Linked DNA regions of Oryctolagus cuniculus. The protein of the gene in region 1 interacts with the protein of each later gene in a pairwise test. Links are inferred from orthologs where the notes say so. Each region holds a gene or a part of one and is shown on either strand. Other genes may lie near its edges. The genes, in order: GRN, DLK1 and KRTAP26-1.

Evidence for each region.
Region 2: the proteins of GRN (region 1) and DLK1 interact in binary tests that used the Homo sapiens proteins (3 or more experiments, as listed by UniProt). The link is inferred for Oryctolagus cuniculus from reciprocal best matches to the Homo sapiens genes GRN and DLK1.
Region 3: the proteins of GRN (region 1) and KRTAP26-1 interact in binary tests that used the Homo sapiens proteins (3 or more experiments, as listed by UniProt). The two-hybrid records come from large-scale screens. The link is inferred for Oryctolagus cuniculus from reciprocal best matches to the Homo sapiens genes GRN and KRTAP26-1.

Annotation. Positions count from the first base shown.
Region 1 is NC_091448.1:18,939,157-18,942,875, forward strand, and holds the end of GRN (progranulin), read right to left. Parts: intron 3,469-3,719; coding exon 3,356-3,468; intron 3,274-3,355; coding exon 3,138-3,273; intron 3,055-3,137; coding exon 2,936-3,054; intron 2,714-2,935; coding exon 2,590-2,713; intron 2,357-2,589; coding exon 2,259-2,356; intron 2,168-2,258; coding exon 1,922-2,167; intron 1,624-1,921; coding exon 1,390-1,623; intron 1,307-1,389; coding exon 1,073-1,306; intron 983-1,072; coding exon 845-982; 3' UTR 572-844; downstream 1-571. Other genes in the region: protein FAM171A2, read left to right, coding at 1-87. UniProt on the Homo sapiens protein: Secreted protein that acts as a key regulator of lysosomal function and as a growth factor involved in inflammation, wound healing and cell proliferation. Regulates protein trafficking to lysosomes, and also the activity of lysosomal enzymes.
Region 2 is NC_091451.1:44,306,835-44,310,581, reverse strand, and holds the start of DLK1 (protein delta homolog 1), read right to left. Parts: upstream 2,349-3,747; 5' UTR 2,162-2,348; coding exon 2,095-2,161; intron 921-2,094; coding exon 857-920; intron 343-856; coding exon 212-342; intron 1-211. UniProt on the Homo sapiens protein: May have a role in neuroendocrine differentiation.
Region 3 is NC_091435.1:15,091,694-15,094,113, forward strand, and holds KRTAP26-1 (keratin-associated protein 26-1), read left to right. Parts: upstream 1-942; 5' UTR 943-997; coding exon 998-1,639; 3' UTR 1,640-1,901; downstream 1,902-2,420. UniProt on the Homo sapiens protein: In the hair cortex, hair keratin intermediate filaments are embedded in an interfilamentous matrix, consisting of hair keratin-associated proteins (KRTAP), which are essential for the formation of a rigid and resistant hair shaft through their extensive disulfide bond cross-linking with abundant cysteine residues of hair keratins.

The DNA.
Region 1 (3,719 bases):
GCGGAGGCGGGCGACGAGGCGGGCGACAAGAAGAGCCCGTGGCAGCGGCGGGAGGAGCGGCCGCTCATGGTGTTCAACGTCAAGTAGCGCCCGCGCCCGGGCTGCGCGCCCCGGGGGCCCGTGGGGGCCCGCGCTCGCAGCCCCCTCCCCGGGCCGGGGGCCGGCGGAGCTGTCCCGTGGTATGTGTCTTGGGAGAGGGAGCCTGGGTCGGCCTCCAGCCCCGCGCTGGGAGGTGCAGGGGAGGAGGGCTGGGGGGGTTGGGGGCTGTACATAGAGAGCTCTGTTGGGGGACAGCAGGCGGGGCGACCTGGCCTCAGCTGCTCGTGTGAGGGCTAGGAAGGGAGGGGGCGTTCTCTGCGGACCCCTGGGAGGGGAGGGTGCTGCTTGCCACCTCTGGGCCATGCCGTCCCGGGGCTGGTGCCGGGGCAGTTCTGGGGGGCTGGGGGCGAATGGGGATGGGGCCGTGGCAAGCAACAGCAAATACACAAGTGGTGAGGGAAACACGTGTGTGTGTTTCTGTGGGGGCGGGGGCGGGGGTGGGAGGCAGGGTGGCCAAATCAGACGCGGTGAAGAAAGTGTACAAACTTTATTGGAGCGCACACACATGTACACACACACACACACACACACCCCTGTGGAAAAGGGACAGCACCTGACCACAGGGTCCACAGAAATCGGGGGAGGGGATGGCAGCTTGTTTGGTGGCTTCTGCCCCAGCCCCCCTTCTGACAGGATCCCGGGTGGGGAGAGCTGGGTGGAGGAAGAGGCGCTGGGGAGGCCTGAGCAGTGGGCACCCTCCGGGCAGGACCCCGAGGGCTGCCAAGTGTTTCCGGTCCTCAGTCCCTCACAACAGCTGCTGGGGCGCCAGCTCTCTCGGTGGGGCGTCCCAGCGCAGGTTCCCCCAGCGCACACACTTGGTGCCCTTGGCCTTACAGTGGAAGCCGGCGGGACAGCAGTGCTGCCGGTCTGCACAGCAGGAGCCCTGGGCGGTCAGAGAGAGGGCGACAGGGTTAGACGGGGCGGGCCCTGGTGGGCACCCAAACCCAGCCCCAGGGGTGGGGGTGGCGCTGACCTGGGGGTAGGGACAGCAGGCCCAGCCGCCTTGGCGGTCCCGGCAGCACGTCTGGTTATCGTGGCAGAAGCGTCCTTGCCCACACGCCACGTCCCGCACACCCTCGCGCGGGCCGGGCAGCAGGAGTGCCGCCGCGGCATGGGCGGCCTCCACCTCCTTCTCGCAGGACCGGGCCTTCACGTTGCACGTGTAGCCGGCCGGGCAGCAGTGCTGGCGGTCCTCACAGCACACGGCCTGCGGCGACAGAACGGCATGACGTCCCTGTCCCCACGCGGGCCGCAGCCTCCCCAGCCTGGGGTGGGCAGGCGGGCACTCACATGGGGCAGCTGGCAGCAGGCCCAGCCCCCGCCGAGGCTCGGGCAGCAGGTCTGCCCCACCGGGCAGCTGGTGTGCTGGTCACAGCCGATGTCCCGGGGGTGGGACAGGGACGCCTGGCGGGCAGGCGTCTTCTGCAGCCCGGCCACCGTCTCGTTCTGCCGCCGACACCGCCCCTCGGCCGTGCACGTGTGGCCCTGCGGGCAGCAGTGCTGGTGGTCCTGACAGCAGACGGCCTGGGGGGCGGGCAGGAAAGGGTGGTCCAGGGAGCTACCACGGGGGACATGGTGGCCCCAGCCACCTCTCCTGCTCACAGCCCCTCCGGCTGGGGAGAGCTCAGCTGGGTGCTGCCGTGGCCTAGGCAGAGGGCAGGAAGAGGCAACACGAGCCTGGCCACCCACTGGCCCAGGCCAAGACACCATCCCCGCCCCCACAGCCACACTGTACCGCTGGGACAGGACAGCAGCCCCACTGAGCCTGGCCACCCACTGGCCCAGGCCAAGACACCGTCCCCGCCCCCAGGCCACACTGTACCGCTGGGACAGGACAGCAGCCCCACTGCCCCGACGCGAGCTGGCAGCAGGTGCTGAAGACGGGGCAGCTGGCGAGGTGATCACAGGGGACCCCGCTCCTCCAGGCTGGGGGCTCTGGCACGCTCACGGGGGCTGGGACCTTCTCCATCCACGGCACCTGGCGGGGCCCCAGCTCACAGGTGCCTTTCTCCGTGTGACACTTAAAGCCCTCTGGACAGCAGTGTATGTGGTCCTCACAGCACACAGCCTGGAGTGGACGGACAAGGGCCAGCAGTGACAGGGGCCTAGCTGAATGCCACCCTCCGGCTCGGCCCAGCCCGCCCACTGCTCCTCGGTACCTGCGTGAAGGGGCAGCAGCCCCAGGCCCCTGACGCTAGGCGGCAGCAGGTGTAGCCATCCGGGCAGCTCACCTCCTGGTCGCACTTGACATCCTGCACTGCGGGCACACAGGACAGGTCAGCAGTGGCCCTGGCGACCCTGCGGTGCCCGCCTTTGCCAGCTGCACAGACAGCGCCACCCCACAGTGATCCTGGGGCAGGGCCCAGTGTGGAGGGAAGGGGCTGCACCTGGCTGGCCCCTCCACGTGGCCACAGCACCCCACCCCAGGAACAGCTTGGGAGAGCCCCTGTTTGTGGGGCAGGGGACTGAGGTCTGGGGCCTGCCTGTTACCTGTGCGTGCCGGCAGCTTCGTGAGCAGCTCTGTAGCGTTCTCCTTGGAGAGGCATTTACTCTGGACCAGGTCGCACACGGTGTCCTGGGGACAGCAGTGCTGGTGATCGGAGCAGCAGATGGCCTGGGTGGGGACGAGGGTGTATCTTGGTGACTGCCAGCTTGTACGGAGCACAGGGAGCAGACAGGCTGAGGGCTGGCACTGTCTCCAGTCTCCACTAGGGGGCAGCATGAGTCCTGAGTCCCTCGGGCTCCCTGCAACCACGGAGGCCAGCCCCAGCCCTGGAGACCCCGGGCAAGTAGCCCGTGCAGCCAGCTGGCCGTGAGTACGCGGCCCCTCACTCACATTGGGCATTGGACAGCAGCCGTACTTCCCACTGGGCAGCTCACAGCAGGTAGAGTCGTCAGGGCACCGGGAGCGTCCGTCAGGGCACAGGACGGAGGTGGGCGAAGCCACTAACGGCACTGGAGGAGGAGCCAGGTGTGAGGGGGCCCAGACCGGGCGCTTTCTCCAGCAGGGCCTCCCATGGTGCCCCGCTGCTCCTCACCTAGGCTGTTGGTCCTCCGTGCAGGGGTCTTCTTGGCCAGCGGCTGGGTGCCTGTGGCCATGATGCAGCGGGTATGAGCCAGGTCACAGACGGCGCCATGGGGGCAGCAGTGTACCCTGTCCTCACAGCAAGATGCCTGAGAAGAGACGGTCCCGATGGGCCTCTGCTCCCACCCAGCCCCCTCCCGGCCCCCTCCCAGCCCCCTCCCAGACCTGTACCTCGGGCATAGGGCAGCAGCCCCAGGAGCCGTCCAACATGACGCAGCACGTGGAGGAGTCTGGGCATTGGAACTGGCTCCCGGGGCACTGGACAGCTCCCAGGGAGTTGTTAGCTGTGGACAGGTAACAAGCAAGCCCCTCAGCGAAGGGCCTTCCCCCGCCCCTCACGAGGACACGCAGGCCCAGTGATCTCCCAGGCTCCCCCATACACCCCTGCCCCCGAAGCCAGTCCCTGCCCCAGCAAGATGACATAGGGCAGGGCAGCCACAGACAGCAGGTCGGCATTCAAACAGTACGGCCCCCGCCCGCCCCGCCCCGCCCCGCCCCGCAGTGCCTGCAGCTGGGCCTGGAGCCCCGCATTCTC
Region 2 (3,747 bases), on another chromosome or scaffold:
CTCTCGTGACTTTATTCAACAGGCAGCTCCGTGGGCCCCTAGCCCAGTGCCTTCTCTGGGGTCTAGGTGCTGGCCGTGCGGGTGGGGAGCGGTGAGCAGACCCAAGACCCTCCCCAGCAGAGCAGGAACAGGACACACAGTACAAGGCGCTAGGGGGCTGGCAGGCGGGGCGCGGGGAGGGGGCTGGGCGCAGGCAGAGGGGAGTGCCAACCTATATCGCAGAGTTTCCCGTCCCAGCCCTCCTTGCAAATGCATTGCCAGGGATCTTCACAGAGTCCATTAACGCAGCCAGGAGAGGTCTCGCACTGGTCACACAGGGGGCCTTGCCAGCCAGGCTGGCACCTGTGCGGAGCAAGAAAGATGGAGACCCGTGAGGGGGGTCTGGGTGGGGAGGGAGCTGGCTGCCTTCAGTGGACCGAGAGCCCTTGGGAGTCTGCACAGGGCCCAGGCCAGGGGTCAGGGGACGCAATCAGCAGTCACCTGGACGTCAAAACTGAAGAAAAAAAGAAAAGAAAAAAAAAAACAAGCTTGGGGGCAGACGCAGGGGGTCCTAGGAAGCAGGACAGCGGGGGCGGGGGGGGGGACACTGCGTTTTGTCGCAGTGGCCCGCAGTGGTCTTGCTGGCAAGGCGCTCCCCTGACACCCCCCCTTTCTGAGAAGGGAGACAGGAGCTGTGGCTGCCCCCATCCCCTGCCTGCGTCTCCCCCACCGTCTCCCCCACTGGGGCTCTGCAGAGCCAGGGAAGCTGTTTGCCGCAGCACCCCCCCCCCAGCCTGACTCCCAGGACTGTGCCTCCCCCACCCCCATTCCGTGGCTCCCCCCACCGCCCCCAGCTGCCTCAGGAGCGGCTCTGTACCTGCACACATTGTCATCCTCGCAGAATCCATTTTGGGGGTCGCAGGCCGGGAAGCATTCAGCCCCTGAGGCACAGGGAACATCACACAACTGACCCCACAATCTCGCCCCAGAGGCCCAGGAAAAGCCCACTCCCCACACCCCAGCCCCACCCCCGCTGGCTCGCAGCCCCCCATGGGTCCCACCAGCCTGACACGCTGTTTCAAAGCTGTGTGTGCTCCTGGGACCTTGGGTGCAGGACAGGGCCCCTGTTCCCCCAGAGACAACAAGGAACCCCAATACGCTGCGGATAGGGGGGCAGAGACCACCAAGGGGAAGATTTTGACCCTGGATGTTCAGTCAAACCCTCACGCTTTGCAAAGTGAGCTGATGCTAACGGGGAGGCAGACCGGAGGTGCTGAACCGGGGAAAGCCCTAGCAGGTTCACCGGGCAGTCCACAGGTGAGGGGTGTGAGCTTCGTGTTTTACAAGGTTACGCAGTTAAGCCAAGCACCCAGGTCAGAAGTCCCCCCACGACTCCTTGTGTTAAGAAAACAACTCAACAGTTACACCCAGGGCGGCTGAGATTCCAACACTAAGGGATTCTGACGCCTGCATAGGCACCTACTGCATGCATCACTCAACCAGCTCTCCACATGGCCCCACGGCCCACCACGGCCCCCGCGCAGCGGGGGCGGGGGCGCTGCGGGAAGGGGGCCACTCTTCGCTGTCAGAGACAGATGGCCACTGCAGACAGAAGTGTCGCAGCCCCTCACCTAGAGAGACGCGCCTCACAGGAGGCTCGAGCTGCTCTCTTGTTGGGCTTTGGGGGGCTAGGACAGCAAAGTCAACCCCCGCTGCCCCAGAGACCTGTTCCCCGGGATGCACACGCAGGGACACCCCCAAGTTGCCCCCCAGCGCGTCCTCACGGAAGACTCCCGCACATCACCGCACATCGCCGCGTTTTTTCCATGCCTCCTCTCAGCGCACCGACACCCCTTCAAGCGCCACTTCTGCCAGGCGGGAAGGGAAGGGGCTGCGGGGGTCCCAAGCTCGCTGCCCACCCCCCGGGGACCCACGGGCGGACCTGGCACGCAAGGGCGGAAGGGAGGGTGAGGCAGGCACAGCGCGGGGCTTAGGGTTAGGCGAGAGCGGCCGGAGTTGGGGCGCGTGGCGCGTGGCGCGCGGGGCACGGGGTGGCCGGCGGGGCGTCGCAGGCTTCCCCAGAGGGGGCGCAGGCCCGGCCGCCGAGGGGCTCACCATAGGTGCTGTGGCCGAAAGCCAGCAGGAGCAAGAGGACGCGCAGGAGGGCTTCGGTCGCGGTCATCGCGGGGCGGCCGGGGTCGCGGTCCCGGGAGAGGTGCGGGCGCAGGTCCGGCTCCGGGCGCCGCGCTGGGCTTCTGGTTGCGGACGCGGAAGGGGGCGCGGGCGCGAGGCGAGGGGAAAGCCAGGGCTGCACCGGGCTGCGCGCTGCGCTCTCCGCCGCTGCCGCCGAGGAGCTGCCGCCGCCGCCGCGCGCGTCGCCCTTTTCGTACCGCCCCCCCCCCCGCCGGCCCCCGCCCCCCGCCCCCGCCTTCGCGTGCACGGGGCCGGCGCCGGCCAGTCCCGGTGACCCCCGCCCCTCGCGGGGCCGCCCCCCACCACTGCTGCGTCCCGGAAACCGACCGCGCACACGGGCGCACACTTGGCTAGACAGGCGCAGGTACCCCGCGCACGTTTCGCACATGTGCCGCACACACGCACTGGCCAGTTTAGGACCTGTCGCCAGCACAGTCCCTGGGCCGGGCCGCAGACCCCCAGGGGCACACGAGCAAGCCCTCGGAGTGCAGAAGCGCCCAGATGCCCATCGCCTAGGCCCCGTGTAGTACAGGGGCCACGGGTCACATACCCAGGAAGACGCAAAGGCGCACCACCAAGATGTGCAATGTACACATAATCACACACGCGCTCAGAAAAACGGTTAGGAAAAGCCGCAGGTCCCTGCCAGCCAGAGCCATGAGGAGGCCGGAAAATGCAGACACACCTGCTGTAGCACACACATGTGTAACACAAACGCACACTACAACCCAAACACACTGCAGCACGCACACACACACACGCACACGCACACACGCACGCACACCGACCGGCTTGCAGTTACGGAACCCTGGGCCGCCTCCCGCAGCGGCACGCACACAGTCATACGCACACCTACAAGCACACTGTCATCCCACAGACCCGCGCACACATGCAGTCACCTCCACCCACACACGCCCGCCTCGCGGGGGCCTGAGTCACAGGCACACATGTGTGCGGCGCGCCTGATCCTCACCCACACGCACCCCCAGTCCACCGCTCGCCCGCACGGCGCAGGCTCTTGGTCTCACACAAGTGCGCGCGCGCACACACACACACACACACACTCCGGGCTCACAGCAGTCTTTGTTCACGGTGACACGTGCAGCAACTTCACACACAAGCTCATAGACGGTTGCACACCCGGTCCTCAGCGCATGTGCCAGATCTCCTGGGAGGCTTCAACGCCCTGGTTACCGGGGAGCCTCCCCTGTCAGAGACCCTGGGGAGAGGGAGTGCGCCCTGGACTCCACCGGGCCCCCAGCACCCTGCTGCAGCCCCCAGCCTCTGCTCAGAGCCCCGCTGGAGCCTCCCCCACCCCAGTCTGGATCGGGGAGGCCCCGGAAGCTAGGGAGGGAGAGGGGCTGGGAGGGGGCTGCGGGTGTTTAACCTCCGGGCAGGTCGGGACTTGGGGATGGGTCCAAGGGTGCTTGACTTGCAGAGCTTAGTCTGAACACAGGTCCCAGGTGCAGAGAATGTGCCCGCCCAGTTCTCGCCTCCTCTTCCCCACGGTTCAGGGCGGGGGGGGGGCACATCTTTGCTATTTGGAACCTGGAGCGGTGGCGGCAGGGAGTGCAC
Region 3 (2,420 bases), on another chromosome or scaffold:
AGAAAATGACACTTATTCTTATGCAATCACTTATATAAAGCATTTTAGAAACTCTCTTTTGGAAACTGACATCAGAACCAATGCAGGAGGCAAAACAAATCCACATGTGAGTCTGTGTATCTTACTTATTTTACCAAGAATGATAGCTTTCAGTTGTAGTATGAGTAATCACGAAACACATAAGTCTGGAATAATCATGTAAAATATCATGTTTTCCAGCTTTCTTTAAGGAGTTTTATGTGGATTTTTTGTTCATACTAGGATCCATAATTTTAATCGAGCCCAACCTCATTATCTATATTTAAGATCTTAAAACACAAACCAGACTTTCTGTTTGAGTTATTTATTAAAGTTAATAAAAAGAGCATTTATTTTTTGAACAAAGATACTTTGCTATGAAGTTAATCTGTACTGGGATTCTGAAATAAAGTGAGCACATTGAAATTTTGTATAGTTGTAGTAGTTTCAGCTTTTCCTGCCATTTAGATTATAGGAGTTTTCACCTCCCTTATAACACTCTTGGTTCCAAGTGACTTCATGTGAGTAATTTCCAAAGAGAACTGGATTTTCTTTCAGATAAAGAAAATTTGCCCCTGTTTAAAAAAATGATACAATTTTTAAAAACAATTCCAAGAGGGGGATTTTAAGAATTTGCCATGGTTATTGTAACTGGAATAAGTTCATAGCCTTCAAAAGTGTCTGTTTTGGTTGGATAATTTAAGAAGAAATCTTATTAAAATCTAGTCACGCAGGCTTCTCAATATATTTAATAAATGGAACGCATTGTAAGGAACATCCAATTTTATCGGAAGTAAGAGCGCTTCTTCCTGCACTCTAATGAAGAGTTCTGATGCAGTCTCATCCAACCAGGAGGAAGAGTCTGTTTACAAAACCCTCACCCTCTAGGGTATATAAAGGGCCAAGGCAAGTGGGGATCAGAATGAAACTTGCATTCAATTCTTTCCCTCAAACACAGCCTGCTCTCAAAACCCTCGCTATGTCTTGCCAGAACTACTCTCGCAACTGCAGCTCAGGCTCCCCCGGAAATTCCTGCCACATCCCTGCCTCCTCCTCCGTTGCCGGCTGCTCTACAAATGTGAGCTGTGGAGATGTCTTCTGCTTACCCAGCAGCTGTCAAGATCGTGCCTGGCTCACGGACAAAAGCCAAGAGACCTACATTGAACCAACCAGCTGCCAGCCAACCAACTGTGTGCCCAGCAACTGCGCAACCTCCTGGAGATCTTCCACTATTTACTATGTGCCCAGACCCAGCCTAGGAACCAGTTTTATTCCTGCTTCTTCCTGTGTCTCCAGCTCCTGCCTCCCAGTATCCTGTAAACCTCCGAGCTATGTGTCCAGCAGTTGCCGTCCGCAGAACACCCTGATCAATACTTGCCAACCTATAGGTAGCGTGCTCAGTGCCTACCGCCCTTTGACCTCTCTGTCCAGCAGCTGCCGACCCCAGAGCCTCCTCACTTATGGATGCCAACCCGTAGGTTACTTGGCCTGTGGTCCTCAAGCAGTTCATATCGTCTCCAGCAGCCCAAGACCTCTGCCGCCTCCATCCAGCGGCTGCCAACCTGTGACCCACGTGTATGGCACATGTCATCCATCTTGCTCTGTCCAGGGAGGCCAGTAGTGTGCTTGTTCCAGCAAATCATCATGCTGAAGACTCAGGATATAAATTCAAACTCCATGGACTTCTGGTTCTTTCTTAGTGGTGTCTGATTGCTGGTTGGGTGTTTCTACTATAGCTGATCTAATGTGATTTACTACTTTCACATTTTCATCTTTCCTTGATGTTAAAAAAATTGGTTTACAATGTGTCTCAATGTTGCCTGAGTGTGGGAAGCATGTATTTGTTCGCACTATAATAAACAAGATCATGTCAAAGCTAAGAATCTGGTTCATTGGTTTTCTTTCATTCCTTCATTCTGACACAGAAATGGTGAACCCAGACTCCTTATAAGATTTGTGAATAAGACAAAGTGCTGTGTAACAATGTGCTCTTACTGATAGTAGAGAGATGATTTGATGGTGTGATTTCTCAAGCTGTTTTTTAGACTTCTGATGCTATGTCCTTGAGAGATCCAGGAATCCTTGGTGGAATGTGTTTTGCAAAGGCAAGATGAGGAATTATATCTTTTAGCTCTCTCTTCCACTGAATATCCTTCCACTGGAATGTTTTTTCTCATTACAAACCTAACCATAAGCTTTTACTTAATCCTTAGATGACATTGTATGATCGATTCCCATAAGGTAAAAGCCCAAATCCCTTACCATGATACTGGATTCCTTCATTGTCTTCCTCCTATTATTTGATTGAATCCCCTTTTGCTGTGTATCAAAAATCCAATTCTGAATTACACATAGATCCCCAACATGATTTTGAAAATCATCCTTTTTGCATATGCCATCAA